Linked DNA regions of Mus musculus. The protein of the gene in region 1 interacts with the protein of each later gene in a pairwise test. Links are inferred from orthologs where the notes say so. Each region holds a gene or a part of one and is shown on either strand. Other genes may lie near its edges. The genes, in order: Arl6ip1, Snx15, Snx12, Sucla2, Snx11, Spg21 and Fxr2.

The links.
Region 2: the proteins of Arl6ip1 (region 1) and Snx15 interact in binary tests that used the Homo sapiens proteins (3 or more experiments, as listed by UniProt). The two-hybrid records come from large-scale screens. The link is inferred for Mus musculus from reciprocal best matches to the Homo sapiens genes ARL6IP1 and SNX15.
Region 3: the proteins of Arl6ip1 (region 1) and Snx12 interact in binary tests that used the Homo sapiens proteins (3 or more experiments, as listed by UniProt). The two-hybrid records come from large-scale screens. The link is inferred for Mus musculus from reciprocal best matches to the Homo sapiens genes ARL6IP1 and SNX12.
Region 4: the proteins of Arl6ip1 (region 1) and Sucla2 interact in binary tests that used the Homo sapiens proteins (3 or more experiments, as listed by UniProt). The two-hybrid records come from large-scale screens. The link is inferred for Mus musculus from reciprocal best matches to the Homo sapiens genes ARL6IP1 and SUCLA2.
Region 5: the proteins of Arl6ip1 (region 1) and Snx11 interact in binary tests that used the Homo sapiens proteins (3 or more experiments, as listed by UniProt). The two-hybrid records come from large-scale screens. The link is inferred for Mus musculus from reciprocal best matches to the Homo sapiens genes ARL6IP1 and SNX11.
Region 6: the proteins of Arl6ip1 (region 1) and Spg21 interact in binary tests that used the Homo sapiens proteins (3 or more experiments, as listed by UniProt). The two-hybrid records come from large-scale screens. The link is inferred for Mus musculus from reciprocal best matches to the Homo sapiens genes ARL6IP1 and SPG21.
Region 7: the proteins of Arl6ip1 (region 1) and Fxr2 interact in binary tests that used the Homo sapiens proteins (3 or more experiments, as listed by UniProt). The two-hybrid records come from large-scale screens. The link is inferred for Mus musculus from reciprocal best matches to the Homo sapiens genes ARL6IP1 and FXR2.

The regions. Positions count from the first base shown.
Region 1 is NC_000073.6:118,126,826-118,131,008, reverse strand, and holds the start of Arl6ip1 (ADP-ribosylation factor-like protein 6-interacting protein 1), read left to right. Parts: upstream 1-1,383; 5' UTR 1,384-1,504; coding exon 1,505-1,540; intron 1,541-3,741; coding exon 3,742-3,875; intron 3,876-4,183. UniProt on the Homo sapiens protein: Positively regulates SLC1A1/EAAC1-mediated glutamate transport by increasing its affinity for glutamate in a PKC activity-dependent manner.
Region 2 is NC_000085.6:6,125,461-6,129,584, reverse strand, and holds the start of Snx15 (sorting nexin-15), read left to right. Parts: upstream 1-1,324; 5' UTR 1,325-1,437; coding exon 1,438-1,536; intron 1,537-4,124. UniProt on the Homo sapiens protein: May be involved in several stages of intracellular trafficking. Overexpression of SNX15 disrupts the normal trafficking of proteins from the plasma membrane to recycling endosomes or the TGN.
Region 3 is NC_000086.7:101,219,764-101,223,779, reverse strand, and holds the start of Snx12 (sorting nexin-12), read left to right. Parts: upstream 1-1,216; 5' UTR 1,217-1,218; coding exon of another isoform or gene 1,219-1,353; coding exon 1,354-1,518; intron 1,519-4,016. UniProt on the Homo sapiens protein: May be involved in several stages of intracellular trafficking.
Region 4 is NC_000080.6:73,593,715-73,596,644, forward strand, and holds the end of Sucla2 (succinate--CoA ligase [ADP-forming] subunit beta, mitochondrial isoform 1 precursor), read left to right. Parts: coding exon 1-51; intron 52-1,659; coding exon 1,660-1,734; 3' UTR 1,735-2,430; downstream 2,431-2,930. UniProt on the Homo sapiens protein: ATP-specific succinyl-CoA synthetase functions in the citric acid cycle (TCA), coupling the hydrolysis of succinyl-CoA to the synthesis of ATP and thus represents the only step of substrate-level phosphorylation in the TCA.
Region 5 is NC_000077.6:96,774,756-96,779,028, forward strand, and holds the start of Snx11 (sorting nexin-11), read right to left. Parts: upstream 2,801-4,273; 5' UTR 2,700-2,800; intron 2,307-2,699; 5' UTR 2,213-2,306; exon of another isoform or gene 2,149-2,212; intron 679-2,148; exon of another isoform or gene 619-678; intron 1-618. UniProt on the Homo sapiens protein: Phosphoinositide-binding protein involved in protein sorting and membrane trafficking in endosomes. Regulates the levels of TRPV3 by promoting its trafficking from the cell membrane to lysosome for degradation.
Region 6 is NC_000075.6:65,477,937-65,481,436, forward strand, and holds part of Spg21 (maspardin), read left to right. Parts: intron 1-2,442; coding exon 2,443-2,551; intron 2,552-3,500. UniProt on the Homo sapiens protein: May play a role as a negative regulatory factor in CD4-dependent T-cell activation.
Region 7 is NC_000077.6:69,639,471-69,642,970, forward strand, and holds part of Fxr2 (fragile X mental retardation syndrome-related protein 2), read left to right. Parts: intron 1-763; coding exon 764-857; intron 858-1,811; coding exon 1,812-1,883; intron 1,884-1,970; coding exon 1,971-2,119; intron 2,120-2,576; coding exon 2,577-2,670; intron 2,671-3,500. UniProt on the Homo sapiens protein: mRNA-binding protein that acts as a regulator of mRNAs translation and/or stability, and which is required for adult hippocampal neurogenesis. Specifically binds to AU-rich elements (AREs) in the 3'-UTR of target mRNAs.

The DNA.
Region 1 (4,183 bases):
TTTAAAACAAAACTGCAGAGCCTTAATTGTGAGTGAAAGCTCTGAAAGAAGAAGAGTATTTGCAAAGATCTTCTTCATTTGCAGTGCCAAAGTTCTGAGGAAGATTTGTGTTACGAGCTTCATCTTCTGACACATTTCAAAAGGTCACTTTGTGGTAGAAAAAGAGGTGTTTGTAACCTCTGAGCCATTTGGAAGGTTAGTGAGAGCTGGATTGGGACCTGGGACTGGCCTAAACTTAAATTTTACTTTGGGAACACCGACTAAACTAAGCTTTCTGGGGCAGTAGCCAAGTTGCCAAGGAAAAACTTATTACTCTGCCCTCTCTTAGCAAAGTGACTGCTCCTGGTACCACCAAGATGGGCACCTCATTGCTTGGTAGCAGCTGTTTGGGTCCTTTTGTTCTCAATACTGAGGAGAAGGAGGGAATTCCAGGCTTTACAATTTTTGACATGATTTCTGTATCAACCGAAGTCATAATATCCCCCCCCCGCCCCGCCCACACACAATGAGCGTCCTTCCTGGTCAAAACTGTTGTCTGTACCTTCTAGTACTTTCCACAAGTTCTATGACAAATTGTATGCCCCTTTGACAGAGCCACCATAGGCCAGGAAGGGACCAGGCATATTTAGGAGCACTATGTGATCTCTCACATTTCTCTTTAACCTCCAAGGCCTTTAAAGAACCTGGGAATTAAGGAACGAAGTGTTTTTAAAAATAATTTAAAATTAGTTGAAGGTCGTATTTAGCCTGGCTTCCCCATACATCCATTAATCTATCAGTCTGAAGCCCTCCAACATCCGAATTGCTCCTCTACTCATCCATCCCTCCGAATGAAGCGCTCCCCTAGCTACCTGAAGTACTCATAGATTATCAAGTGAAGCACCCCGCAAATGATTCCCCCAAAAACTGGCTGCAAATGAAGCCCTTTAAGAGTTTGTGCATCTTCCATGTTCTCCAAAGGCCAGAGCTGGGGAGAAGGCACAGACAGCGCTCACTTGGGGCAGCCAATACTTCAGTCAGCAGGTGCCACAGCAACCTAAAGCGTCCTTGCCCTTCCAGCCTCCGCATAGGATGCCATTGCGCATCCCCTGCGCAGCTGAGCGGACAGGCGCCTGAGCGGTTTTGATTTCCAGCAGAAGAGCTAGGGACTAGAGAGGCCCCAGGATTTAGGAAGATCTGGGTGAGAGACTAGGTACGGCGGTTGAACCGCTTCCTTCCGCTCCGCCTCTCGAGGGCCACACCCCTGCACTCTGATTGGTCAGAGTCTTTCAGTTTCGCTCTCCTTTGACCTGGATTTCAAGTCATGCGCTAGCTGCCGGTTGGCCCGACTTCCCAGAAGCCGGAGTGCGGTCTACCCAATGAGGAGCGAGTTTCGCGAGGGCTGTCGGGAAAGGCAGCTAGCCTATATAAGCAGACTGCGGGGCGTTCCCCCGCGCTCGGGTTGCCTTGCTGGTGTTGGGGGGATAGTGTGTGTTCGCTCGTTGATAACCGCGAGTCTGGAACGATGGCGGAGGGGGATAACCGCAGCAGCAACCTGCTGGTGAGTTGCGGTGGTCAGTCTGTCCCCGGAGTTTCCGGATGGGCCTCCTGGCCTCGGTGGACTACCAGGGACAGCCAGGCCTTATCTCCACGGTGGAGGTCGCTGCTGGCGATCCCCAACGTCCCCCGGAATCCTGCACCATAAGGCTTGGGCCGTGCGTGAGGAAGTGTGAGAAGGGGGCTGTGGCAAGAAGGAACCTGGGTAACAGGTTGGGGCACTCGGCCGCCAGGGGCCTTGTCTAGCGCTCCGGCTCAGGCCGGAGACCTACCTGTTTTGCCCTTTGATCTTAATCTCATGTTCCGTAGATTATTTTTAATCATGATTCTTTTTCTCCTAAAACTTGGCGCAAGGGTGGAGGGTCAAAGGGCTGCTACAGAGAATTAGTTTATCGCTGACACAGAATTTGTTGGAGCTGGCTGGTTGGAGTTCACCGCAGGAAGCTGAAAACGGGTTCTGCGGAAAGGACAGTGGGGGATCCTGGCACTTGTCTGGGAACTGGCGAGGGACTCACGGGACTGGATGCAACTTTAAAAATGATTTAGCACGGATTTGACGGAGCTACACGAGATGATGGTATTAGAAGAGGGCGCGTTTGCTTCATTACAGGTCTTTGTTTTTGGTTAGGTCTTTGTTTTTGGTTTTTAAGGCTAGGTTTTCGTGTAGCTTGACGAGGCTAGCCTTGTATTTGTCATCCTCCTGTGCTGGGATTACAGTTGCGCATCACCAGGCCCTGCTAGTTTCAAATTTTTAACTGCATCACCCACCTAGGCAAGAACGAAAGATCTTTTTTTTTTTTTTTCTGTATTGTCATTCCCCAGAAAAGGCAGGCCATATCAGAAATGAAAAAAGCAATCAGCTTTTAATGCCTGCCTTTTTAACTGCTAAGTGCCGACAAGATTCTTCGGGACAGTTTTGATTAGTGCAAGATTTTCAGTTTGTATTTGTGTTTAGAGGTGCATTCCCTGTATCCTTAAATTCCCTACACACACACACACACACACACACACACACACAGTACCATACAATAGAGATGCTTACCCTGTACCCTTAAACTCCTCCTACACAATACCAGCAAACAATTCAATAAGAGGATTAATTGCTGTACAAGGAAACTATCATGGGAGAGGGCCTGATCACTACTATTTCCATCATTTTAAGGAGAGCAAGTCCATTAGTCTTGGATTTCCTGGATTTAAATATATTAACCCCTTTATGTCTCAGTCGCCTTATCTTAAAGTAGAGGTTGTGAGAATACCTTTTCCAGTTTTTTTGGAGCGTCAATTGAAGTATAACATGTAAAATGTTTAGGATTTCTAGTATGGGGAGATGTCAAAAGTACTTAGTCACATATCTCATCTTTATTAAAATTAGCCTGAACTGTTCTATATTTGCATATTCCTTTGTGAAGAGTTGATAGTGTCAGTTGGGCATTGTGTGTATGTAGTTCCTGGATGTTGAATCCAGAGTTCTGCACAAACAGGTTCTAAATACCTTCCGTTACCAAAGTCCCTGATAGGTTCAGGTCACAGTAGCCCATGGTAAAGGTGTGCTTTTGGCTAGTTGTCACATATGCAGAAAAATTTTGAGATTTAATTGAAATTCTATCATTAATGATGAGGAGCCATTAAGTGCTGAGCTCACATAGTTTGGTTGAAAGAGTTTTCTTTAATTCCACAGTGACTGCCAACATCAGAGTCATTCCATTATACAAAGCTATTTTAGAGATTTATGTACTTAGTGTTAAGGGAAAGGTTCTCCTGATGGATTTAGAAGGACTTCAATCAATAAAACGGCCAATCGACAGATCAATGCCAACCACCTGAAATGGGCAAACAGAATATTCAATCTAGTAATATTCTGAGCACTGCCTCTTGGCTCTGTGGCTGCATTTGGGGATATTAGTTTCCCATATTAAGCTCACTTTCATGAATATTGAAATAAATTGTGAAATCTTGGGAATATTATTATACATCATGGACATATGGCCCAGTGCTAAAATGACCATTAAAGCCTAGGCTTTTTCCTACCCATGGATTTTCATATTTGGTGCCAAAATTGCAGGTTTTCATGACTCACCTTGTTTAAGATAACAGTTTTGTAAAAGGCATTTTACGTGTTTTTGATGCCTGAGAAAGTACTCTCTGAGCCACCAAAGTGTTGAGATTGGCAAAGTAACAGTCTTAACTGTTGATCATGTGTAGGCCGTGGAGACTGCAAGTCTTGAAGAGCAGCTGCAAGGCTGGGGAGAGGTGATGCTGATGGCTGACAAAGTCCTTCGATGGGAAAGAGCCTGGTTTCCACCTGCCATCATGGGTGTGGTTTCCCTGCTGTTCCTGTAAGTGAGATTCTATTGCTAATGCTCAGAGGGTTCATAGCCTGTGCTTAGAGAAGCTTTTGTAATACATAATCCAAAAGGAATGCCTTTATTGCAAGCAGCTTGCCCTCTTTCTAGATTTGTAGTCCTTATGTAAAGTTGTAACTTGATGCAGTTGAGTAAATCCCGGACACGCAAACTCTTGTGTTTCAGCACTCTTGCTTTATTATATTCCTTCTAGTAAATTTTGAGGACCCAGCTGGGCGTGGTGGCGCACGCCTTTAATCCCAGCACTGGGGAGGCAGAGGCAGGCAGATTTCTGAGTTCGA
Region 2 (4,124 bases), on another chromosome or scaffold:
CTATTTATTTATTATATGTAAGTACACTGTTGCTGTCTTCAGACACCCCAGAAAAGGGAGTCAGATCTCATTACAGATGGTTGTGAGCCACCATGTGGGTGCTGGGATTTGAACTCAGGACCTTTGGAAGAGCAGTCAGTGCTCTTAACTGCTGAGCCATCTCACCTCAGATTTTTTAATGGTTCTTTTTTTTAATGATTTATTTATTTATTATATTTACATATTTACATGTATTATATTTACAGCACACTGTAGCTGTCTTCAGACACCCCAGAAGAGGGCGTCATACCTCATTATGAATGGCTGTGAGCCACCATGTGGTTGCTGGGACTTGAACTCAGAACCTTTGGAAGAGCAGTCAGTGCTCACAACCGCTGAGCCATCTCTCCAACCCTTAATGGTTCTTTTATCCACTCTTTCCTATTTGAAGATGGGATTTCTGGTAGTGGTGGGATGTGCTGCAATCTATGTTTAGTGATAATCTTCCACACCAATTTGGCCTTGATCAATTGGTGTTGGGTTTTCGCTATCCCTGTGTTGTGCCAGCATGCCTCTTGATCTGATCTGTTACAGAAGATACTGTGTCAGGTACCACTTTCCATAGATGAAAAACTAGATGCATGCAGTTACAAGAGGGAAATGTAATGCTTACCAAGGATTTCAGCATTTGGGAGATGGAAATTGGAGGGTCAGAAATCCAAGGCCAGCCTCAACTACATAGAGAGTCTGAGGCCAAACTGGGCTACATGAGATCATCTCAACGTCCAACCTCCCCAAATTTGAAGCAGTTAAGGGGAATTCAAATACGTGTAAGTGTTGTGATTTCAGAGCCTCTGTCACTATCCAGTTTTTTCAGCATCAGAAAATGTCAGTGTGTGTCGTTCCCCCCACCCCCCAATCCGCACAGGGAGGCAGGGAACTTGGCTCTGCTAGGCACATTTTGAACACAATAAAAGTTGCATGGGTTAGACCCTATGCCAAGCACCTGAAGTTCCAGATACTCAGGAGGCTTAGGTAGGAGAATATTTTAAGCCCAGAAGTTGGTCAACACAGCAGAGATCTTAGCTTAAAATAATTCATAAATAAGAGGCTGGATGAGTGTAAAGAAGATAAATAAAGAAACGTTTCGGAGGTCTGTAAGGAGGGTTTACGTTAGGGGGAAGTGGGTTCAATCACATGCCAGGATGCCAGCTGGTAAATCCTCTCCCAAACAACCAATCCTTAGTCTCTACCTAGAACTCCGCTTTACCAATGACCTAGAACTTGTCAGACACTCCCTTAGCCACGCCCCCAAGCCAAGAACGGTTGTGTCACTTGCGACTAGGTCCCTGGGCCTGAAGAAGGGCGCAGGCCGGATCCTGGCAGTGGCAGTAGGCTCAACACGCGGGGAGCGGGGGCGACGTGCAGGAGGAGGAGCCGGCGACCGGCTCCGCTGTCATGTCGCGCCAAGCGAAGGATGACTTCCTGCGACACTACACAGTCTCGGACCCTAGGACCCACCCCAAGGGTTACACAGAGTACAAAGTAACCGCTCAGGTGAGGTGGGACCCAGCGGGGGAGCATTACCCTTTTAAGCAGCTCCGGATCCGTGCTGTACCTTAAAGGCAAAGAGCTTCAAGGAGGTCGCGGTTTGGCCTACACAAATAGATTTCCCCTTTAAGAGGCGCCTGAGACAGAAGATTTAAGGCGCCTCACCTCCTGGGGCGGGGCTAAGGGTCATTTTTTAAAGTCTGTGGAGCTTGGCTCTGCGCTTGGCCCGGTACCCCCTCTCTGTTGTTGGTGATGTCTAGATGCGGTCTACGAATTTCTCAAAGCAAGAAAACTCCGGATTAACCTAAATATTCCTTCTCTAATCGCTTAGAGTAACTTTTGGTAATTTTCCCTGCTTGATCCGTAAAAGCCCCACCACCACCTTTTTATTTATCTATCTTTTCTTTTTTTGAGACAGCCCTGGCTTTTGCGAACTCACGATGTAAACTAGACTGGCCCGGAAGTCACCGAGACCCTCCTGCATCTGCCTCCCAAGTGCTATGATTAAAGGCGTGCACCACCAGGACCAACTATAAAAAAAGCTCTTTAAAAGTTTAAATGTATGTGTGTGTGTATATACACATATACACATATAATTTTATTATACTATTTATATATTATATATATATAATTTGTGTGGTTTTAAAAACTCACGCAAAAAAAAAAAAAGACTGGTCTTAACAGATAAGGAAGTCAATAAGCTGAAATTGGTGTTTGTAACAATAAAACTTAGAATGAGCTCGTAGAAACATCAGCATGAAAGAATGCTTTTAGAATTTTACCCAAGGTAACTATGGAGGTCTCCAATGGGAGAAACCGGGTTGCTGCGGAAAGACTGACTATATATTTTCTTGTACTTAAATTTTTTTCAACTTGGCAACTGTTTGATTAGTGGCTTGTCGACTGTTAAAAGGAAGCAAACACATACAAGTCGCTCCCAAAGCAATCTAAGTCAGAGTCTTAGATACGTCAAGAGTGTTCCGGGGGTTTACTTTTTCATGCCAAAAAATACAAATATAATAATTGTCTCTAGGAAGATGCCGGAGGGTAGAAAGGATGACAAGGCATTCAGAACCCTTATGTCTTCCTGTTAGCCTTTTAGATCTAGTCACATGCCTTACACATGCATAGAGTTGTTTTTTTTTTCCAGTGCTAGGGTTGAACTCATGGCCTCCCACATTTTAGAGAACTCTCTCTCTCTCTCTCATTCTCATTCTCTCTCTCTCTCATTCTCTCTCTCTCTCTCTCCATGTCTCTCTCTTGCCACAGCACCCTACAAGATGATCCTTTTTTTATTTTATAGATTTATTTACTTAATTTTTTTCTTTATTTATTTCGAGGCATGTTTTTTCCCTGTAGCCCTGGTTGTCCTGGGACTTGTGTTGTAGACCAGGCTCAAACAGAGATCCATTTGCCTCTGCCTCCCCAGTGCAGCATCCCTAGGGATTAAAAATGTGTACTACCCCTCCTGGCTTATTTACTTAAAGATTTAAAACGTAGTTGTTTTTTTAAAAAACAAAAACATCTGTGCACTCTCCATGCAATACCAAAGGAGGCCAGAAGAGGGTGGTAGATCCCTATTGATTGGAATTACAAGCGCTTGTGTGCCCTCACGTTGGTGCTGGGAATAGAACTTCTGTCCTCTAGAAAGCAGCCAGTGCTCTTAACCTGAGCCATCGATCCAGCTCCAGATTTATTTAATTTTATATGTATGAATATTTTGCCTGTATGTATGTTTATGTACCAAATACAAGCCTGGTGAGATCAAAGGTCAAAAGAGGTCTTGAATCTCCTGGAATTGGACTTAGAAATTATTTCTATCTGCCATCTCAGTGCTGGGAACCAAACCCAGGTCCTTGGCTACAGCAGCGAGTGCTTTTACCTGCTGAATCATCTCTCCTTGTTTCTGGCTGATGTACGTGTCTGTGTGAATGTGTAGCACAACTGCGTGTGGATGCCTGTTGAGGTCAGAGGAAGGTGCATCAGATCTGATCCCCTGGAGCCAGAATTACAAACGATTATGAGCCACATAATGTGGGTACTGTTCTGGGCACTGAATGTAGTGCTTGGAAGATCAGGTCATGCTCTTAACTACCGAGCCACCCCTCCTGTCCCCATCCTTAGATTTTAAATGGGCATCTTAATCATGTCTGGTTTGCTGAGATCTAGAAAAAAAAAATGGAAAGGATGTTTTGAAAACTGTTGATTCTAAACTGTACAACCTTACTGTAAAACTCCCATAAGCATAATAGCAAAAACTAAGTGTTACTTCTGTCTCGGGCCAATTCTGTTCTTCCAGAGTGCCCAACCCCACTGCTAACTCTGTCTTCATGGGTATGAGACATTGTAGCTCCTCTCTTTTTTTTTTTAAAGATTTATTTATTTATTATATGTAAGTACACTGTAGCTGTCTTCAGACACTCCAGAAGAGGGCATCAGATCTTGCTACGGATGGTTGTGAGCCACCATGTGGTTGCTGGGATTTGAACTCCGGACCTTTCACCAGCCCGTAGCTCCTCTCTTAAGAAGAACTGGATCCTGGGACAGACTCTCATTTTTTTTAAATGATTTATTTATTTTTACTTTATTTTCTG
Region 3 (4,016 bases), on another chromosome or scaffold:
AATGTATGTTTAGCCGGGCGTGGTGACGCACACCTTTAATCCCAGCACTCGGGAGGCAGAGGCAGGTGGATTTCTGAGTTCAAGGCCAACCTGGTCTACAGAGTGAGTTCCAGGACAGCCAGGGCTACACAGAGAAACCCTGTCTTGAACTCCCCCCCCCCAAAATGTATGTTTAAGGACTACAGATATAGCTGATTTTGTAGAGCCTGGATTTGATCCATAGCACTGCACAAAACAGCATTTGGGAGAGACAGGCCGAAGGGTCCGATTTCAAGGTCATTCTCTGCTATAAAGCAAGTTTGAAAGCAGCCTGGGGTTCATGAGACAGTGTCTCAAAACTACATAAGAACCACAAAAATTCCTAGCTGGCCATGGTGACACTGAAACCCAGAGGGCTTGGCAGGAGCACTGCCACAAGTTCAAGGGAAGCCTGGACAGTTAGGATAAATGTAAGACTTTGTCTTAGTATGTACATAACATGTGCAAATACATTTTACACGTATGTAAATATGTTCTTCTGTAGATGTTCTCATGCAGACACATACTTTCATGAGAGGTTGCAAACAAGCTCACAGCATAGCCAAGTGCGGGTTCTGCAGCATATAGACAGAAGTTATGAAGTAAAGATCCTGAAATTTGTTAAGAAATGAATATGCCTGGAATTAGTTGTTATGTAGCAACATGTGGGGCATGAAGATACACCCACTATTCCTGAAAAGTGAGAACATGAAATCTTTATTGTTTACGCAATTCGTGTTTACTGATTCCCGGGCACCACAATGTATTGCTTACACTTGCGTGTAGCTTGAATTGAAACTATCAGTGGCACAAGTAGTAAGCCTGCAGTCTACGTTTTTTCTATTATTGTTGGAACCCCACCTTCCAGAAACCATTCTATTTTCAGGGAAAATCCGGACTTAAGGACCTGGGGTTTCGGCCTATCACCTTAGGATAATAGCTTGTGGGGCAGTGCCCACTGCTTGATTGATGCACGGGGTGAGCCAATTTCTTGGGTTGAGGGACACAGATTGGAGGAGCATGCGTGTGGTGCTTCTCAAACTACTGGGGCAGTGAGTATTGGAGATGCAGGTTCCGGGGCTGCTACCAGTACCACCCGGAAGTCTGAATGACGCTTGCATTATAGAGTACCAGCCCTAGTCTGCATGGCAACTATTCAGAGTGAAGGGCCCGAGGCTCGGGCGGTGTGTGCGTGCGCGCATGCGTGCGCGCGTGCGCGCCGCCGTCGTCTGGGGGTTGGCTGGTTATTTTGCAAGCGGGAGGGGCTGTGCGCGCTCTTGCCTCAGGCCTCTGTCCCCCACCCCCTTCGCCGGTACCGGGCTCTTCTTCGGAAAGATGTCGGACACCGCAGTGGCTGACACTAGGCGCCTTAACTCGAAGCCCCAAGACCTGACCGACGCTTACGGGCCGCCCAGTAACTTCCTGGAGATAGACATCTTTAATCCACAGACGGTGGGCGTGGGCCGCGCGCGCTTCACCACCTATGAGGTTCGCATGCGGGTGAGTCACGGGGTGAGGGAGACAGCTGAGGGAGGACGGAGCAGGAGGGGAGGGGGCATGGGGACGACTAACGGCGGGCCGCCTTGGAGGGGTCATGTGAGGGTTAGGGCTTGGAAGGTTTGGAGAGGAGGCTGCAGACTCAGCTGTGGCCCGAGGGTACAGAAAAGTCCAGAGGGGACTTGGGGCGGGGATGAAGGAAAACAAGTACTTACAAGGAAGAAGTGAGGCATGGCTGGACAGGGTGTGGACGATGGACAAAGATTAGTGAGGAATCCAAGTAGACTAGAACATGATTGACAGGACGGGAGGGGAGGATGGAAGAAGGCTGGGGGATGGAAAGCCAAGGCGATGTATCGCTGGGTTCTATAACTAAACTAGGTTATGGGAAGCCATTCTAAAGGGGGGAGGGCAGGAGGGCTCAGCTTCTTCCTAATAAGATCTCTCTGGGATGATGGAGTTAAGCAAAACCTTTAGTTCAAGGCAAGAGTGAGTGAAGGAAAGGGAGACAGTGGGCTTATGGGAGCAGTAGAAAAGCAATTTGCAGACAGAATGCTTTGCTGACTTGTGTAAGATTGACATCTGCAAGAGAGAACTGTTTTATGCTTAAGTTTCTTAGGTACCACAATGTCATGTCTCACGTGAAACCCGGCCCTGCACCGGGATTGGGGATTGTCAGCTGCTGCTCCCATCCTCTGCTAAGCCTTTAGATGTGAAGTATCCACAATGGTGACTTCAGGTTTTATTGGCGTTCACTTAGGGTTTATGGGAAAGGCAGCATTTGCCTTGTCTTCCCCTAATCTGTAGTTACTTTAATACATGACATTTCAGAAGGGCTCCAGGAATGGCTTCTTCTAGTCTGCACCCCAGGGGACTTTATTCTCTTACTCCACAGTGCTTAGTCCACAGTGCAAGATATAGTACATGGTTCACAGGTATTTTTTTTTTTTTTGCCCAGTTGAAATGGTACAGATTAAAAAAATTTAAGAACCATTTTTTCTTTTTTACTTGTGTTTTCTTCTCAGGTTAGAGATGCAGGATATTCTTTTCGAACAGTATCTCTTTTGAATAGCTTTGAAGATCTATGAGTCATATGAAGTTCTCATTTTTTTAAAAAGATGAATTGAATTAAGAATGTTTGTTCTACCTGTGCCTGACAATCTTATGGAGCAATGGCACCCTCTCAATTGAGAGGGGGCAGAAAGCCATCACAGCATGAAGCACAACTGTTTTTATGGAGGCTAGACTATTTGAAATGTTCTCTTTGGAGAAGGATGGGATTTATCTTCTTCAAACTGATAGAAGAGAGGTGATCATGGAGGAAGGCTTGACTACTCAAGGGACCCTAAGTCTAACTTGTTCAGTGTAAAGAGTGCCTTTAGGGTCTGTTCACCTTGTCTAGGTGCATAAGAACCTTAGGGATTAGTAAGGAAATAGTTCTCTAGGAATTCTGATAACAGAGACCATCCAACTAGTCCCTACTATGGGCCAAGCCCAAACTAGGTTTTAGTTTCTTTAAAAAAAATTTTTTTTTGATACCAAGTTTCTCTGTGTAGCCCTGGCTGTCCTGGAACTTGCTTTGTAGATCAGGCTGGCCTCAAACTCAGAGATCCACCAACCTCTGCCTCCCACATGCTAGGATTAAAGGCATGTGTCACTTTGCCCATCTAGGTTTTATTTTTTTGTATACCTTTTTTAAAAAACAGAAATCAGGAAAGCATGCAGTTTCTGTAATTTCCCCAAGTACATGTAATGTATAAGACCTCTGGATTTGAAACCAACTCTCTGACTCCAAAGTCCATGCTCTTTCCACGACCTTGTTAAACTTTAGTTGCAAAACTTAGTATGCAAAATGTACACTGAGACTTTGTTTTGCTTTGAGACAGGGTTTCTCTGTATAGCTCTGGCTGTCCTGGAACTCACTCTGTAGATTAGGCTTTCCTGGAACTCAGATCCACCTGCACCTGATTTCCAAGTGCTGGGACTAACCCGTATACTCAGCATTTTCCTCAGTGTCTTCCACAGTTCCAGTTATACAATGTTGATTGGAGTTCTTGGTGCTTCTTTATTTTGTGGGTTTGAGTTGATTGGAGGCTTTGGCTGTTTTATTGAACTCTAGTGTTTAGAAAGGTACTAAAATCATTTGTCATTTGTATTTATTTTTCTGGTCCTGGAAATTTAATTCAGGCTGAACACATACTCCTCATTGATCCTACCCCTTCAGCTCCTTTTTATAAATATTGATGAAGCTATTCTCTTTAATTTTATTCAGGAATGGATCCTGCCTGCCTGAGGAGTCTGGAGAGGTGCAATGGTGGCCTCACGTCATTGTACATATGGACATTTCAATGTGGACTTGAATTTTGTGTTTTCTTTCTCCTTTCACTTTATTTTCACTAATTATGTTTCTACTGTTTAAGGAACACAATATCTTTAGTAAATACTAGTACAAATCTATAATCCTATGATCCTAAATGTCTTTTTTTTCCTCTTAGGGGATT
Region 4 (2,930 bases), on another chromosome or scaffold:
AGTGGTCTTAAAATCCTTGCTTGTGATGATTTGGATGAAGCTGCTAAAATGGTAAGTGGGCTCTAATGAGCCAAGGCATTTATAGTGTGGAAAGGATCTAGATAGCTTTAGATTCTAAAATGAGCCAGCCAAGTAGTAATATTAGTACTTCAGGAAAGCAGGCTGAATTCTGGGGAGTGACAGCAATAGATACGAATACTGTTAGGATGGGGTTTGCAGTGGGGGATAAAAATTGTACTCAGCCTCATACAACAAGGAAAAGCAGGACTTTGTATTCAAGGATCCAGATGGCTAGTTGGCAGGTGGGAAATTAAAAACAATGCAACTAAGGGGACATTCAGACTGGGCAGTGCAGAAGTGTTTGGAGGCAGTGAGAACTTACAGATTCTTTTTCAGAAACTCGTATACACCCCCATGTGCAGCATTTTATACTTCTCAATCATATATATGAAGTGAATTAGTATGATGATGTAAAGAAATTACTATTATTTTAGTGGAATACTGGCGTTCTGATTGTGAAAGTTCAACTATTATTTTGTACCATCTAGGTTCTTTGTTAAGCTTGGTGTCAAACTGTATGCACTGCAGTTGGGTAATATGCAGCTATGTTTCTTAAGCTATAGCCCTCCTGGTTTGTTGGACCAGTACTATGTTATGGTCCTGTACAGTTTCAGTCTGGGTTTAACGAGTGTAACCATCATCTGCTTAGCATGCTCTGTCCTCTGTATTCTCTCCTAAACTGGAAGTTCAGTCGGTAGCCTTGACTGTTTGATAATACTTCCCCTTCACACCCTGCAAGGATCCTCCTGGTGGTAAAGTTTCCATGTGTATAGATGAAGAAATAGGCTATCTAAATTCACTCATTTAAAGTCATATATGAAGAAATAGGCTATCTAAATTCACTCATTTAAAGTCATATACCTCTAACCCCATACTACTTTCTTTCTTTTTTTTTTTTTGTAACTACTCTTAGAGTGGAGCTGAATTTTGTTTGTAGACATGTCTAATTTGTATGACATTTTGTATGGAAACAGATAGGTATTCTCATATCATACAGAGCATTGGAGTTTTTGTTGGTTTTTGTTGGTTTCCTCGCAAAAGATTGCCTTACGCCAGCAGTTTTTATGTATATGAGTACACTGTAGCTGTCTTCAGACACACCAGAAGAAGGCATCAGATCCCATTACAGATGGCTGTGAGCCACTATGTGGTTTCTGGGAACCGAACTCAGGACCTCTTGGAAGAGCAGTCAGTGCTCTTAACTGCTGAGCCATCTCTCCAGCCCACACCAGCAGTTCTTATATCTAAACTCCTACCCCAATACCAGATTAAGCTTGTAAGCTTTTTCCAGGTAAGCTTTAGTTATGCTCTGAATTATGGGCTGTCTTGAAAGGATACTCCTTGTTTGTGTCCTCAAGGTAAAATTTAGGTAATACATCTAGTTATATATTTTTATCAGGGCATATTTAATTGAATTATAGGTTATGGAGAATGTCAAACTTGACAGTCTTGTGTCAGTTCTTACTAGACTATAGTGTAACTTGTAACAATGTCAGAATAGCCCTACTATTTTAAATGGAAACGATTCTGTCTTTTGCCTTGGTTTATAATGGTTCACCTTTTTATGAACATACAGATATGCCCTGTTCTCTCTTTCAGGTTGTAAAGCTCTCTGAAATAGTGACCTTAGCCAAAGAAGCCCATGTGGATGTGAAGTTTCAATTGCCAATATGAGCAAGACCTTGGTGGATGGCTACGGGTATTAATGTGCTGTAATTCTTTATTATACTGTGGTCTCTCCTAGTGTCCCTTTTCTTTTAATGTGTGGAGAATGTAATCACCACATAGGCACACATACCTTTGAAAGCATTTGCTCTGCATCTGATTCTGCTGCTGAGAATGGACTGTTTATATAAAGAATGTCTGATATAAACTTACGGTGGTCTCTTTTCTTGCAGCCATCTTTTTTTGCTTCCTCTACAGAATGTCACTTGCAGTATGCCTGCTTTCTGGTGTTGGATACAGAGTTCTTCATTGATAAGAGTTCTATAAATAAAATTACTACAAAGATAAAGCTTTATTCTTTAGTATAAAAATATATCTAATAACAGCCTCATTAGGACAATGGTATGTTATAACAATGTTTTATATAAGAAATATTTATCTTCAGCATCAAATGGCTCTTAAATGTATCAATCATTATTTATACATAGAACTTGGAAGCACTCCTCAGAACATCTTTTAAGTATTTTAGAGAAGTAACTTGCTGATTATTTGAACATCATTTTAATTATTACAGGACAATGATAAGTGCAAGTCGTCATGATTCTGTGGTGGTAAAAACACACGCAGATTGATAAGAAAGGCACCTATTAAGACTTGGACAAAACTAGAATGCCAGCTTAAGTCAATAAAAGTTTCCTAATGTAATTTGGAGTTATGGGTTTTTTTTTTCTTTTGAAGTAACAGGTGTTCATTTTATTAATTGGTCTAAGGATCCGGTTTATAGATCATACAACTGGACATGGCAGTACATATTCTAAAGCTTTAGAAGTCTTGTTTGCAGATCTACTGTCTGCTACATACTGTTATTTCTTTCACCTGCATATTTGTACCTTTGACTCTGGGGGTATGAGGTGGGGATGCCCTGTGGGCTGCTTTCTTAAAAATCCCTGAACACATGAAATCTCAGATTTATAGTTAGGGTAGAGTCCTGTGCACTACTGTACTTCCTATGGAGAATATAACACATTTTAAGTGTGTTTGCATGGGTGACTTCGGGGATAGGCTTTCTGGCCTCCTGGACCAGGCAAGCCGTGACTCCAGTGCATGCAAATCCCTCGGGTACGGCACCTCCAGCAGGTGCGCGTGCTTGGGAGAAGAGTCAAAACAAGCAGTGCCCAGGCAGCACACGGAAGCTGTTGATGCTT
Region 5 (4,273 bases), on another chromosome or scaffold:
TCACTGTAAAACTTTTGCCCAAGAACTGTGGCTTAACAATCTTGTGGAACAGAGCCTTGAAAAGGAGCCTACCAGCACCCCCTCCTGGTTATTTAGAGACAACCAAGTCCTTACAAATACCAATCTCTCTTCGTCTTGCTAACCAAAGTCACCTCCATACAGGTGGGTGCTCCTAGGGGTGAAGAGGCCAGCTACAGTTTACCACCTTCCCTGACCAGCTAGCTCTCCAGACCTGGAGCCAACCACTACAATCAGTTGCGATCCTGCCATGCCATCCGGTTTGTACCTCTGCCCAAGCACCCCACAGCTTCTCAGGTCAACTCAGGATGCATTCCGCTCCTTTGTAAAGATTCATTAAAGCCTAAGCCACTCATTTCCCCCAGTGTGGTAGTTTATGCGTACAGCGACATCGCCCACTCCAACACGGGGACCATGAAGGCTGGAACACAGGGTTACTGGATTCCAAAGGGGCCCATGATGTCACCTTCTGTTAAAATACAGCACTAATCTTGTTACTCCTAGAGCCGCTCCAACTGCAGCCACCCTGGCTGCCGCCTCCACCCCCTTCCTCTCTCTTAAGAGCAGAACAATAAGGTTTAATTTCCCTTTCCAATTTACCTTGAAATGAAAACTGACTCCAGCCAATATGTACTGCCAACAAATGATGCGGGCTGGCTCCTGGGAAAACAAGGCTCTCTCTAAGCTCTCCCTCTCTCCTCCTCCCATGCCCATCCGCACACCCACTCGTTTTTTACAGTCCCACAATTAATTTTAAACACATTCTCTTATTAGTTCTGCCTTACCATTAGCAGAGTGCATAATGAGCTTCCGTCTATTTTATGTTTTGCTAACATAGGGCTAATGTTTCAAAGGAAGGGAAACTCGTTTACGGCATGAAATTAGCAAAGCAAACAGCTTTTGCAATTCTTCCCAATATCCCAGAAGGTCTCTCTACAGACAGACATGGCATGCGGGGACAAAGCTGCATGGCAGATAACAAAACAGAGCTGAACTGTGGAGCAAACCCGAGGTTTTGTGATTTCAACACCATAATAAACAGCATTCTTGCTGACAGTCTGATTTTTTTCATCCGCAGCAGTCACCACCTCCAAGAGGCCCTAGACTGAAAGGCAGGAAATCTCAATTCCCCAATAACCCAGTCCGACAGTCCAGACGGGTACAGACAAAGATCTGTGACCAAAACCAACAGGCTTTCTGTGAATATTAATTAGCCTGCTGGGATTTCCCCCTCTCTTCTCCTCTTAGGCGCTTGCTAAACTGCCAACGGAAGAACAGAAAGTTAAATATTCTTAAGTGGTTTTGTTGTTGTTGTTGTTGTTTGGTTTGGTTTGTGTTTGTAGTACAACAGAAAAGATGACAAGAAAGAAAGGCATCTATCCACTTAGGGGAGATCACACCACTCTGCCTGGAAAAGTCTGTGAAACTCAAGACTCTAGTTCAGTAACTGTTCATCAGACGTTTGGTATAAAGAGTTTGCTAGGGGCCTGCAGCACCCCCATGTGGAAGTTTTTCTCCTTTGTTTTGGAGCTAATGTCATAGAGAAACAAATAAACTGTCTTTTAAGACATTCCAAGTCTCCTGGGTCTCTGTAGGCTCAAGGCTAAGCGTAAAAGGCACTAAGAAGGTTCTGGTGGTCAATTTCCCCTAAGACACTGAGACTGCAAAAAGCAGACTCCGTTTCCAACAACCACTGCTCTTCATCACTGTCCTTCCCAACGACACCACTCTCAGTCGTTATTCCTGGAGAAACAGCAAGTTCTTAACTTCACCTCCATGACCCGTCCAAAGAGGTGGATCTGTGCATCCATTAAGGAAGGGCAGAGTCAAGTAACCTCGAAAGGTGAGGAAACTTACTCCATGCTAACTACATTCCCGGGGCCTTTTCCATCCCATCTGAAGCGCTCACTGCTTCCCTCGGCAGTACCAGCACCCATAGTCCCGGGAAAGAGCCAAGGGGTTTGGTGTGTACAAAGTTTGACGCATTGTAAAGCTCACAGCTGCTAATTCAGGGGAGCAATTCAAAGCTTTCTCATTTTCTCCGCCTCTTAAAACTACTTCAAGGGACACGTAAAAAACACATCAGGCTGTAAAAAAGATTGCACCAAGGAGTCTCCCGCCCCTCCTTACTCGTTCTTGAGCCTTTGGTGTCAACAGACAGCAATTCTAAAACCTCGCCTTCCTAAATACCCACAGGTGTTCGAGGAAGCTCTTCCGCCTGACAGAAAACCTGTCCCGTCCATCAAGCAGCTGTTCTCATTTTTCAGTCGGTAACCCACTCCTTTCACCTGCAAGTAACAAAGGAAGAGCATAGTTTCCAGTATCTGCGAAAAATATCTGCCATTCCCTTCCACTGCCGGCCACTTGGGTAGACATCCCTAATTCTGACTCCGGCCACTCCTTTCCATTCTTTAGCAAACTCAGATGGAAACCAGCCCAACGGTCCTTCTCTTTTCCCGGCTAAATCGGGACGGAAAGACGATTTTCAAGGTATATTGAAAAGCCAGGCTTCCTTTCTTCTTGGGTCCCAGCAAGCCCTCACTTTCATACCAGGCAGTAAGGCAGCCCCCTCCCTAGTGTGTCAACCGAGGCCATCACTCAAATGCCACCACCACGGCTCAAGCCAGCATCCCATTCCCAAGCAGCACCTACGAGCCGCGGCCACGCCCACGCCCCCTCACCTGAGAGCAGCAGCAGCAGCTCTCCACAGCGACACCACCAGCACCGCACCATATAGTCCGATACCGGCTTCTCCTTCCGGGTGAGTCGCCGGTGCCCCGGTGCACGACGGGAGGCGGCTCCCGACGGGCCAATCCTGAGTGTCCCGGACGCCCCACCCCTGAAGACCAGGGCTCTCAGTGGCGATCGCTGGTCAGAGGAGGCTCTCCATCCCGCCCAGGCCTAAGCTGAAATCCGCATCTTTCCGGAAATCGCTAGGGGGCGCGGGAGGCGGAGCGCAAAGACCGAGACCCCGCAAAGTCCACTCCGGTGCCGTGTCCCGCCCACCGCCATTAGGCGGGCCAATCAGCGCTCAGGGAACGTGTTTGAAGGCCGACGAAAGCATCTTAGGAGCCTAAACGTCTTCAGGGTGTTAAAGAGCAGTAAGTGTGGGAGGTTTCTCGCGTTCCTGAAGCCTTACTAAGATCTAAGATCTCGAAAGTCTGGGTTTGAACCTCAGAGGTTGCAGTTCCCCATCTAAACTGTCAAGGGCACTGCCAGTTTGATTTGGAAAACCCACAGATTATCCCAACAGCAGACGAGAAAGTTGACAACAGTTGTCAAGCCCAAAGAAGGATCATACAGTTAGTAAGCAAGAAAAAGCCGGTGAAAATGCTTACTATAGAAATATCTAAAGTCCGGGCTGGAGAGACGGCTCAGGGGGTAAGAGCACCCGACTGCTCTTCGGAAGGTCCTGAGTTCAAATCCCAGCAACCACGTGGTGGCTCACAACCATCTGTAATGAGATCTGATGCCCTGTTCTGGAGTGTCTGAGGACAGCTACAGTGTACTTACATGTAATAAATAAATACATCTTTTTTAAAAAGACAAAAAAAAATATCTTAAAGTCCTCTTAAGCCAATGGAAGTGGCTCACGCCCAGAATCCTAACACTTGGCCATTAAAGACATATAGTGAGCTCTAGGATACGGAGTAAGGCTGTTGGAAAACACAAACGAAAAGCCTCCTTGATCTGTTAAAAAGTTAATTTTAGGGCTGGTGAGATGGCTCAGTTGGTAAGAGCACCCGACTGCTCTTCCAAAGGTCTGAAGTTCAAATCCCAGCAACCACATGGTGGCTCACAACCATCTGTAATGAGATCTGACTCCCTCTTCTGGAGTGTTTGAAGACAGCTACAGTGTACTTACATATAATAAAAATAAATAAGTCTTTAAAAAAAAAGTTAATTTTACCTCTGTAACCCCAGCACTTGGAAGTAGAGGCAGGAACTGAAGGCCAACGCCAACTATATAGTGAGTTTCAGGCTAGCTTGGGCTACCTAAGACCCTGCCTCAAAAACAGCAAGACAGGAGTTGGCAAAATGGCTTCAGAAGATGAGTTCAGGACCCCCAAATTCACACAGTTCACACATTCCTGCAACTCCCACTTCAATGGATCCGAGGCATACACACATCAAAAATAAATATTTTTATTTTTTGTAGCTGTTTTGCCTATAAATAGGTTGTGTACCATGTGTCTACCTGAAACCCTACGAGGCCAGATGAGGGCCTTAGATCTCCTGGCACTGGAGTTAGAAG
Region 6 (3,500 bases), on another chromosome or scaffold:
TTGGCAAAGCTCTGTTGAGCAGGTCCTGCCACCTACATGCAAATAGTTCTTGGGGTTATTTTCTCCTGGAACTGTGAAAAGGGGTCCCTGAAATCTCCAGGAGCAGGAGCTATCAGCAGGGTAAACGGCATTAGGCGTGCAGGTTCTCAGCAAGTCCATTCCCCATGCTGATGGTATGTGGAGTCTTGCAGGATTTTATATTTATATGTATTAATATTTTTACTTTCACCTTTTTTTTTGATAGTTCTCACTAAACTCAGACATCTGCCAGCTTCTTTCTCCCAAGTACTGGTATTAAAGGCTCATTTCATTATGCCCAGCTAATAAACCACTTACACATAAAATGAATAAGTCTAATTACAAAAAGACATGAGGCTTTGTCCCTTCTTCTCTCCAAGGGCGATCTGATGAGGATCTTTGCCCCTTCTTTTAAGGCAATCTAACTGGGAATTGAATTTTGTCTTGTGTGAGCCCTGTCTGCACCCAACTCAGGGCTGTTGTTACCTATCTCGGTGACTTCAGGTTGTTCAGCTGGACTTTGGTGCTGAGCATGTGGGATAGGTAGGCAATCTTGTCCCTGAAGGGAAATAGGCACTTCAGCGTGAGTTCCAGGACAGCCAGGGCTACACAGAGAAACCCTGCCTCAAAAAACCAAAAAAGAAAAAGAAACTGTGCTTGGGGCAGAATTCTAGAATAGCATTCTGAAGGTTACAAAAGAATGCCACTGCCTTTCCCAAGACTGTCATCAGGAGAGTAGCCTGTAAAGTGTTTGATGTTGTTGCTGTTGTTGTTTGGGGTTTTTTTGCTCTCGCTACCTAATATTTCAGTTCTGAACAAATAGTACTGGTACCCAGCAGGAAATCGTCATTGTTGGCTGTCAGATTTACCCAGGACTCATATGGGGCCGTTTGTAGAGTGCTGTAAGTTCCTTGCATCTTTCTGTATCTGCGAACCTCCCAGTCTTTTTCCTGTCCCTGTACCTTCACATTAGAACTCTCTATTCTGCTGTTCCTTTGCCTCGGGCATCTTAGTATTTGGAGAGACCCTTTTCCTCCAGTCTAAGGCAGCAGCCAGCAAGGAGGCATCCTGTGTCTGCCTCCCTCCTCCTGCAGTTGCTCTGTATTGTTAAACATCATAAGTGTTACATCACGTCCCCCAGAACAGGTTTGTACGAAACGCTCCCTCCATCCTTTATAGATTTCTCTTATTCTGCTTTTGGGGTGAGAGAGGATGTCACGTGTCTGGAGGCAGAGATTGGCCGCCAATATCTTCCTCTATCACTGTCTGTCTCACATAGAGGCAGAGGCTAGAATAGCTATTCTAGCTCGCCATCTTGCTCTGGGAATTCCCTGCCCTGCCCTCCTACACGCTCCCTGCACTCAGGCACTACAAATGTGAACTCCAGCCCTGTGCTTGTGGAGCAAGCACTTTACCCTGTGACCCATCTTCCCAGCCCTGTTTTGCGTCTGCCTGGCCCAACTGCCCAGCTTCCTTGATCTCGGTTTCTTCTTGTGAGTTTTCTTTCACAAGCTTTCTGTTATTGGTCTGGTGTTTCTTTGCCTTTCATGTACCGTTTGGAGCAATCTAACCGTTCTACTTTAGGACAAAATATTTATTATCCCAAACAAACTGTTTTTAACTTTCCACACTATGAAATGTCTTCATACTTGTACCTTTCCTTGCATTTCTTTCATGTTTCCTGCTTCCTTCCTTGAAATACAGATCATCAGGCCATGTGTGCTGGTGCATGCCTTCAGTTGTGAAGCAAGAGTCAAGGTCAGCCAGGCTATATAGTCTCAAAACAAAACAGTAACAACAAAATGACATTTTAAAATAAACTTTACAGAAATACCTAAATTTAGACAATGTTTTCAGTAAAATGTATTTTATGATTTTATAATGTTTTCATCAGAATGCAGCTCAACTCCTTTTTGTAGTCTTTGTTTATGTAGAATTTCATGCTAATTCCAATCCTAACTCTTAGTGACCTCACTTTTGGATTAAGGTCAAGAATTAAGCAACCCTAAACTCTTTCTCTACATACACACAGTTTAGGAAAAGTTGTTTATTAACAGATCCAAACATATTTTTACCTTTCCTAATAGATTCAAGATATGCCACTGCTAAGATTTACCCCGCTCTTGTAAACCTAAAGACCTCTAGTTTAATGATCAGTTCCATTTTATTTAAGCTTTCATTTATCTGTAAGCCAACTTGAAGAATTCTTGGGATTTTTTTTCTTTTTTAGTCATCCTCTCCCTATGCCCTCCTTCCCCCCCACACACCCCACACACCCTCTGGTTTCAGACTCACACTGGTTGTTGGGCTCAGAAGAGAGTTCTGCCTTCCTCTGGATTCCAGGAGTCCTGCTGTGTGGAGCTTCAGTGATGACCTCACTCTCCATGTCTGTGTCAGTCACGGGCCTCTCCCCTTGTTTTGCAGCTTCTGGTTGATGCCAGCGTTTATGCTCAAGAAAATCGTTTTGGGGAACTTTTCCTCTGGCCCAGTAGACCCGATGATGGCTGATGCCATTGATTTCATGGTGGACAGGGTAAGGATCATGACCATCCTTGAACACTTTCCCTGGGATTTTCTGTGCACATGCAAAAGGAGGTCCATCATCTATGGGTGTGTCGGGGAGGTCTTTGTGGAGCAGTGCTGTGTTAACTGTAGTACTTCAGTCAGACCCTACTGCTAGTGAGGCCCCTAGCTCCCTCAGTGCTTCCCAGTAACTGCTGCACATTCAAATCCAACAGGACCTTAGGAGAGTAATGCTTGCCGGGGCCTAAATTCAGTAACCTGGCACTTGGGAGGCAGAGGCAGACAGATCTCTGTGAGCTCAAGGCCAGCCTGGTCTATGAAGTGAGTTCCAGGACAGCCAGGGCTACACAGAAAAACCTGTCAAAAAAAAAAAAAAAAAAAGAAAAGAAAAAGAAAAGAGCTAATTAATGAATTATTTTAAGAGGCTACAGAGATAACTTAGTGGTTACGAACACTGTTGTTCTAGAAGATGTGAGTTTAGTTCTCAGTGTCACCTGTGGTAGTCACTGAGGGCACCATCTTATAAACTGGAGAGAAGGTTAAGGGCATGAACTGCCCTTCCAGAAGACTCAAATTGGGTTCCCTGAACCCATGTCAAGCAGCTTACAACTACCTGAAATTCCACTTCAGAGAATCCATCACCGTCAGCTGGCCTCACAGGCACCTGCAATATAAGTGTAAAATTAAATTTGTATTTAAAAGTAATTTTCTTTTCAGCCTGGCTATGGTAATTATGCCTGTGACCTCAGTGGTTGGGAGGCTGAAGCAGAAGGGTCTCCATCTTGAGGCCAGCCTAGATGTACAGCAAGACTGCCTACAAGGACAGCGGCTTCCAAGGCCTCACACTAGACGGTGCATCTGGCTCCTCTAGGGTGGGGAGGGGTTTGGCTTTTTGAGAGGAGGTATCTTGTGGCCTCAGCCTTCACCTCCTGAGTGTTGGGTTGCGGGCCTGTGCCGCC
Region 7 (3,500 bases), on another chromosome or scaffold:
TATCACTAGGCCCTAAAGGAGGGTGAGAGGAGAGACTGCTGAGGTCTGTGAGGCCTGTAATAGATGGCAGAGAGCTGAGGGTTTAGATGGAAATTCTAAGAAAAGAAGAGCAGATAGCTTGGTGCAAGTTTTGGTCACTTGATAGTTGGTAGCAAGGATAAAAGACCACTATGGAACAGGATCTGGTGTTTTGACTTTTTTTTTTTTTTTTTCTCGAGACAGGGTTTCTCTGTGTAATCCTGGCTGTCCTGGAACTCACTCTGTAGACCAGGCTGGCCTCGAACTCAGAAATCTGCCTGCCTCTGCCTCCCGAGTACTGGGATTAAAGGCGTGCGCCACCATGCCCGGCTTGGTGTTTTGACTCTTTACCAGGAAGAATAAAAGTGGTCTGGCTGGGGGTGGGGTGGGGATAGAGGATTTTTGGAGGGGAAACTAGGAAAGGAGATAACATCAAATAAAGAAAGAAAACATCTAATTAAAAAACAGAAAGAAGCAGAGCAGTGGTGGCGCATGCCTTTAATCCCAGCAATTGGGAGGCAGAGTCAGGCGGATTTCTGAGTTTGAGGCCAGCCTGGTCTACAGAGTGAGTTCCAGGACAGCCAGAGCTACACAGAGAAACCCTGTCTCAGAAAACCAAAAAAAAAGAAAAAAAACAGGAAAAAAATGGAAAAAAAAAAAAGTGGTCTAAGGGAGTAACCCCCTTGTGAAGAGGTGGACAATAACATCAATCTGAATAGCTTTCATGTCACTGTTTGTCCTATAGCTGGCAGAGTGAGAGACAGATTCCCTTTGGGGATGTCCGACTACCGCCTCCAGCTGACTACAATAAGGAAATCACAGAAGGAGATGAAGTAGAGGTAAGGACTGTGAGGTCCACCTTTCCAATGTTTGCTTTATTAGGAACCTTGGTTTTTTACTTACTGATTGTGTTCTTTCCTTTTCTGAGCCACCGTGTCTAGCCATGTAGTCAGTGAGTAATGTAGCAGTGCCTTTCTATCGTGGCTGTGACCTGGGGGCACCAGCTTTAAAGGATCTGCTTCTTCATTTGTCACAAATGCACTTAAAGCCTAACTCCTACAGTTCCAATATATATGTACGTGTGTGTACAAGGGGTGGGGGGTTTGGTTCCTGGGGATTGAAACCCAGGCCTTGGGCATGTAAGGCACGCATTCTACCACTGAAATGTATCTGCAACCCCAGTTTCAGTACTTGGAGGCTGAGGGAGGAGACTCACTTAAGCCCAAGAGTTTTTGATTGTTCTGGTCAATATAGTGAGACTTCCATCTCTCTCTTTCTCTCTTTTAAGATTTATTTATGTATGTGAGTACAGTGTCACTGTCTTCAGACACACCAGAAAAGGGCATCAGATCCCATTACAGATGGTTGTGAACCACCATGTGGTTGCTGGGAACTGAACTCAGGACCTTTGGAAGAGCAGTCAGTGCTCTTAACCTCTGAGCCATCTCTCCAGCTCAAGACCTCCATCTCTTTATCTTTTTTCCTTAGTGTGAAGTAGTGTGTGTGTGTGTGTGTGTGTGTTTGAGGGGCATGAGTGTTCCACAGCTTAGGAGTGGTGGTCATGACCTGTGAGCTCTGGGACTTGAACTCAGGTCGTTGGGCTTGGAGAACTCTTGCCCACTGAGCAAAAAAAAAGTGAAATAAATAAAACTCAGGGACCCCATACTTTGAGTTGGTATCTCCTTGTTTCCTCTTGTGGGTTTACGAATGCTTGGGTATTTGGATGCTTTCTCCAATTCTTGATATTTTTGGATAGTCTTCAATGCCATTTCTCTTTATTTCTCCTCTTTCAGGTCTATTCGAGAGCCAATGAACAGGAACCTTGTGGCTGGTGGCTGGCCCGGGTGCGGATGATGAAGGGAGATGTGAGTGACTGAAGCCCTTTGGGGAATTCCTGAGACTGTTCTTTTGTTCCTGAAAAGGTAATATACATTCTTTCTCTTTTCTGCCAGTTCTATGTCATTGAGTACGCTGCCTGTGATGCTACCTACAATGAGATTGTCACTCTGGAACGACTTCGGCCAGTCAATCCCAGTCCCCTTGCAACCAAAGGCAGCTTCTTCAAGGTTACCATGGCTGTGCCTGAGGACCTCAGGGAGGCGTAAGTGTTGGAGAGGTTGGGGATTAGAGACTTCCACAGTGCCAGCTCTGTCCTCGTTTCTCCAGGTCTTCCACTCTTCACTCTGCCCTGTTCATCCTCTGGCCTGTGAGGACCTTTTTACATGCTATGCCCATAACCCTCCCATTTTTCATCGTTCACTCTCTCTTTTCCTGTCTGTCTGTGTTTTGTTGGTTTTGAGATGGCCTCACTACACAGCTATGGTTGACCTAAAACTGTAAACCAGACTTGCTTTGCAGTCACAGAGCTCCTCCTGCCTGTGCCTCCAAGTGCTGGGACTAAAACCGTGTGCCACTGTGCCTTGCTGTAATTATTTTACAAAATGATTTTCTTAAGCCCTGTTTTTTTAGCAGGGGTTCTACCTCTCTGGTTTTCTCCTCCCCGCTTGTTCCCGGGCTTCTTGTGCCCCCTTTCCTGAGCATGTTACTTTTTTCTGCAGCTGCTCCAATGAAAATGTCCATAAGGAGTTCAAGAAAGCACTGGGAGCCAACTGCATCTTTCTCAACATCACAAACAGTGAGCTCTTTATTCTGGTGAGTTTCATGCTTGAATTTAACAAGCCTACTCAACAGTTTTTCCTTTTTTACTGCTTAAACTTTTAGAAAAGTGGATATATGGCTTTTGCTCATGCTCGACTATGTTCATGCTTACTTTATTCCTTCTGATACTTCTGGACCAGGTAGCCTTTCCTTTCCTTAATTGTCCTTATGTATGACTTTAATTTATTCCTTCTCTTCTTTTTTTCCTATGCTAGAAATTAAACCATGATTTTCACACACCTATGTGCTCTAGACAAGTGCCTTGCCATTTAGCTGTTGTACCCCAGCCCTTGGATATATTTGGATCTGTGTGTGTATATATTTGCATGTATATAGGTGCACGTCTGGGTTGGAAACCCTTAAGTGTTGGTATCCGATATCTCTTAATCATGATACACTTTACAAGGCGGCTTATCTTCACCTAACCCAGAGCTAGCCAACTTTGGCTAGCCAGCCAGCTCTGGGGGTTCCTGTCTCTCCCTTCTCCGTGTATCTCACAACCACCAATAACTCCAGTTCCAGGGCACCTGACACCCTCTTTTGGTCTATGCACCTATGTTCATATAACATGTTCACACACAGAGAGATGTACATAAATAAATACGTGGGTTTTTTTTTTTTTTTTTTTTTTTTTTTTTTTGAGACTGTCTGCTGTAGACCAGGCTGGCCTCGAACTCAGAAATCCACCTGCCTCTGCCTCCTGAGTTCTGGGATTAAAGGCTTGTGCCACTACCTCTCTACCTGCTATAAATATTTGAAAATGAAACAAATGTATATCTCTCTTCTTGCTCCTTATTGTCATATGACTCCTATCAGTATTTAGC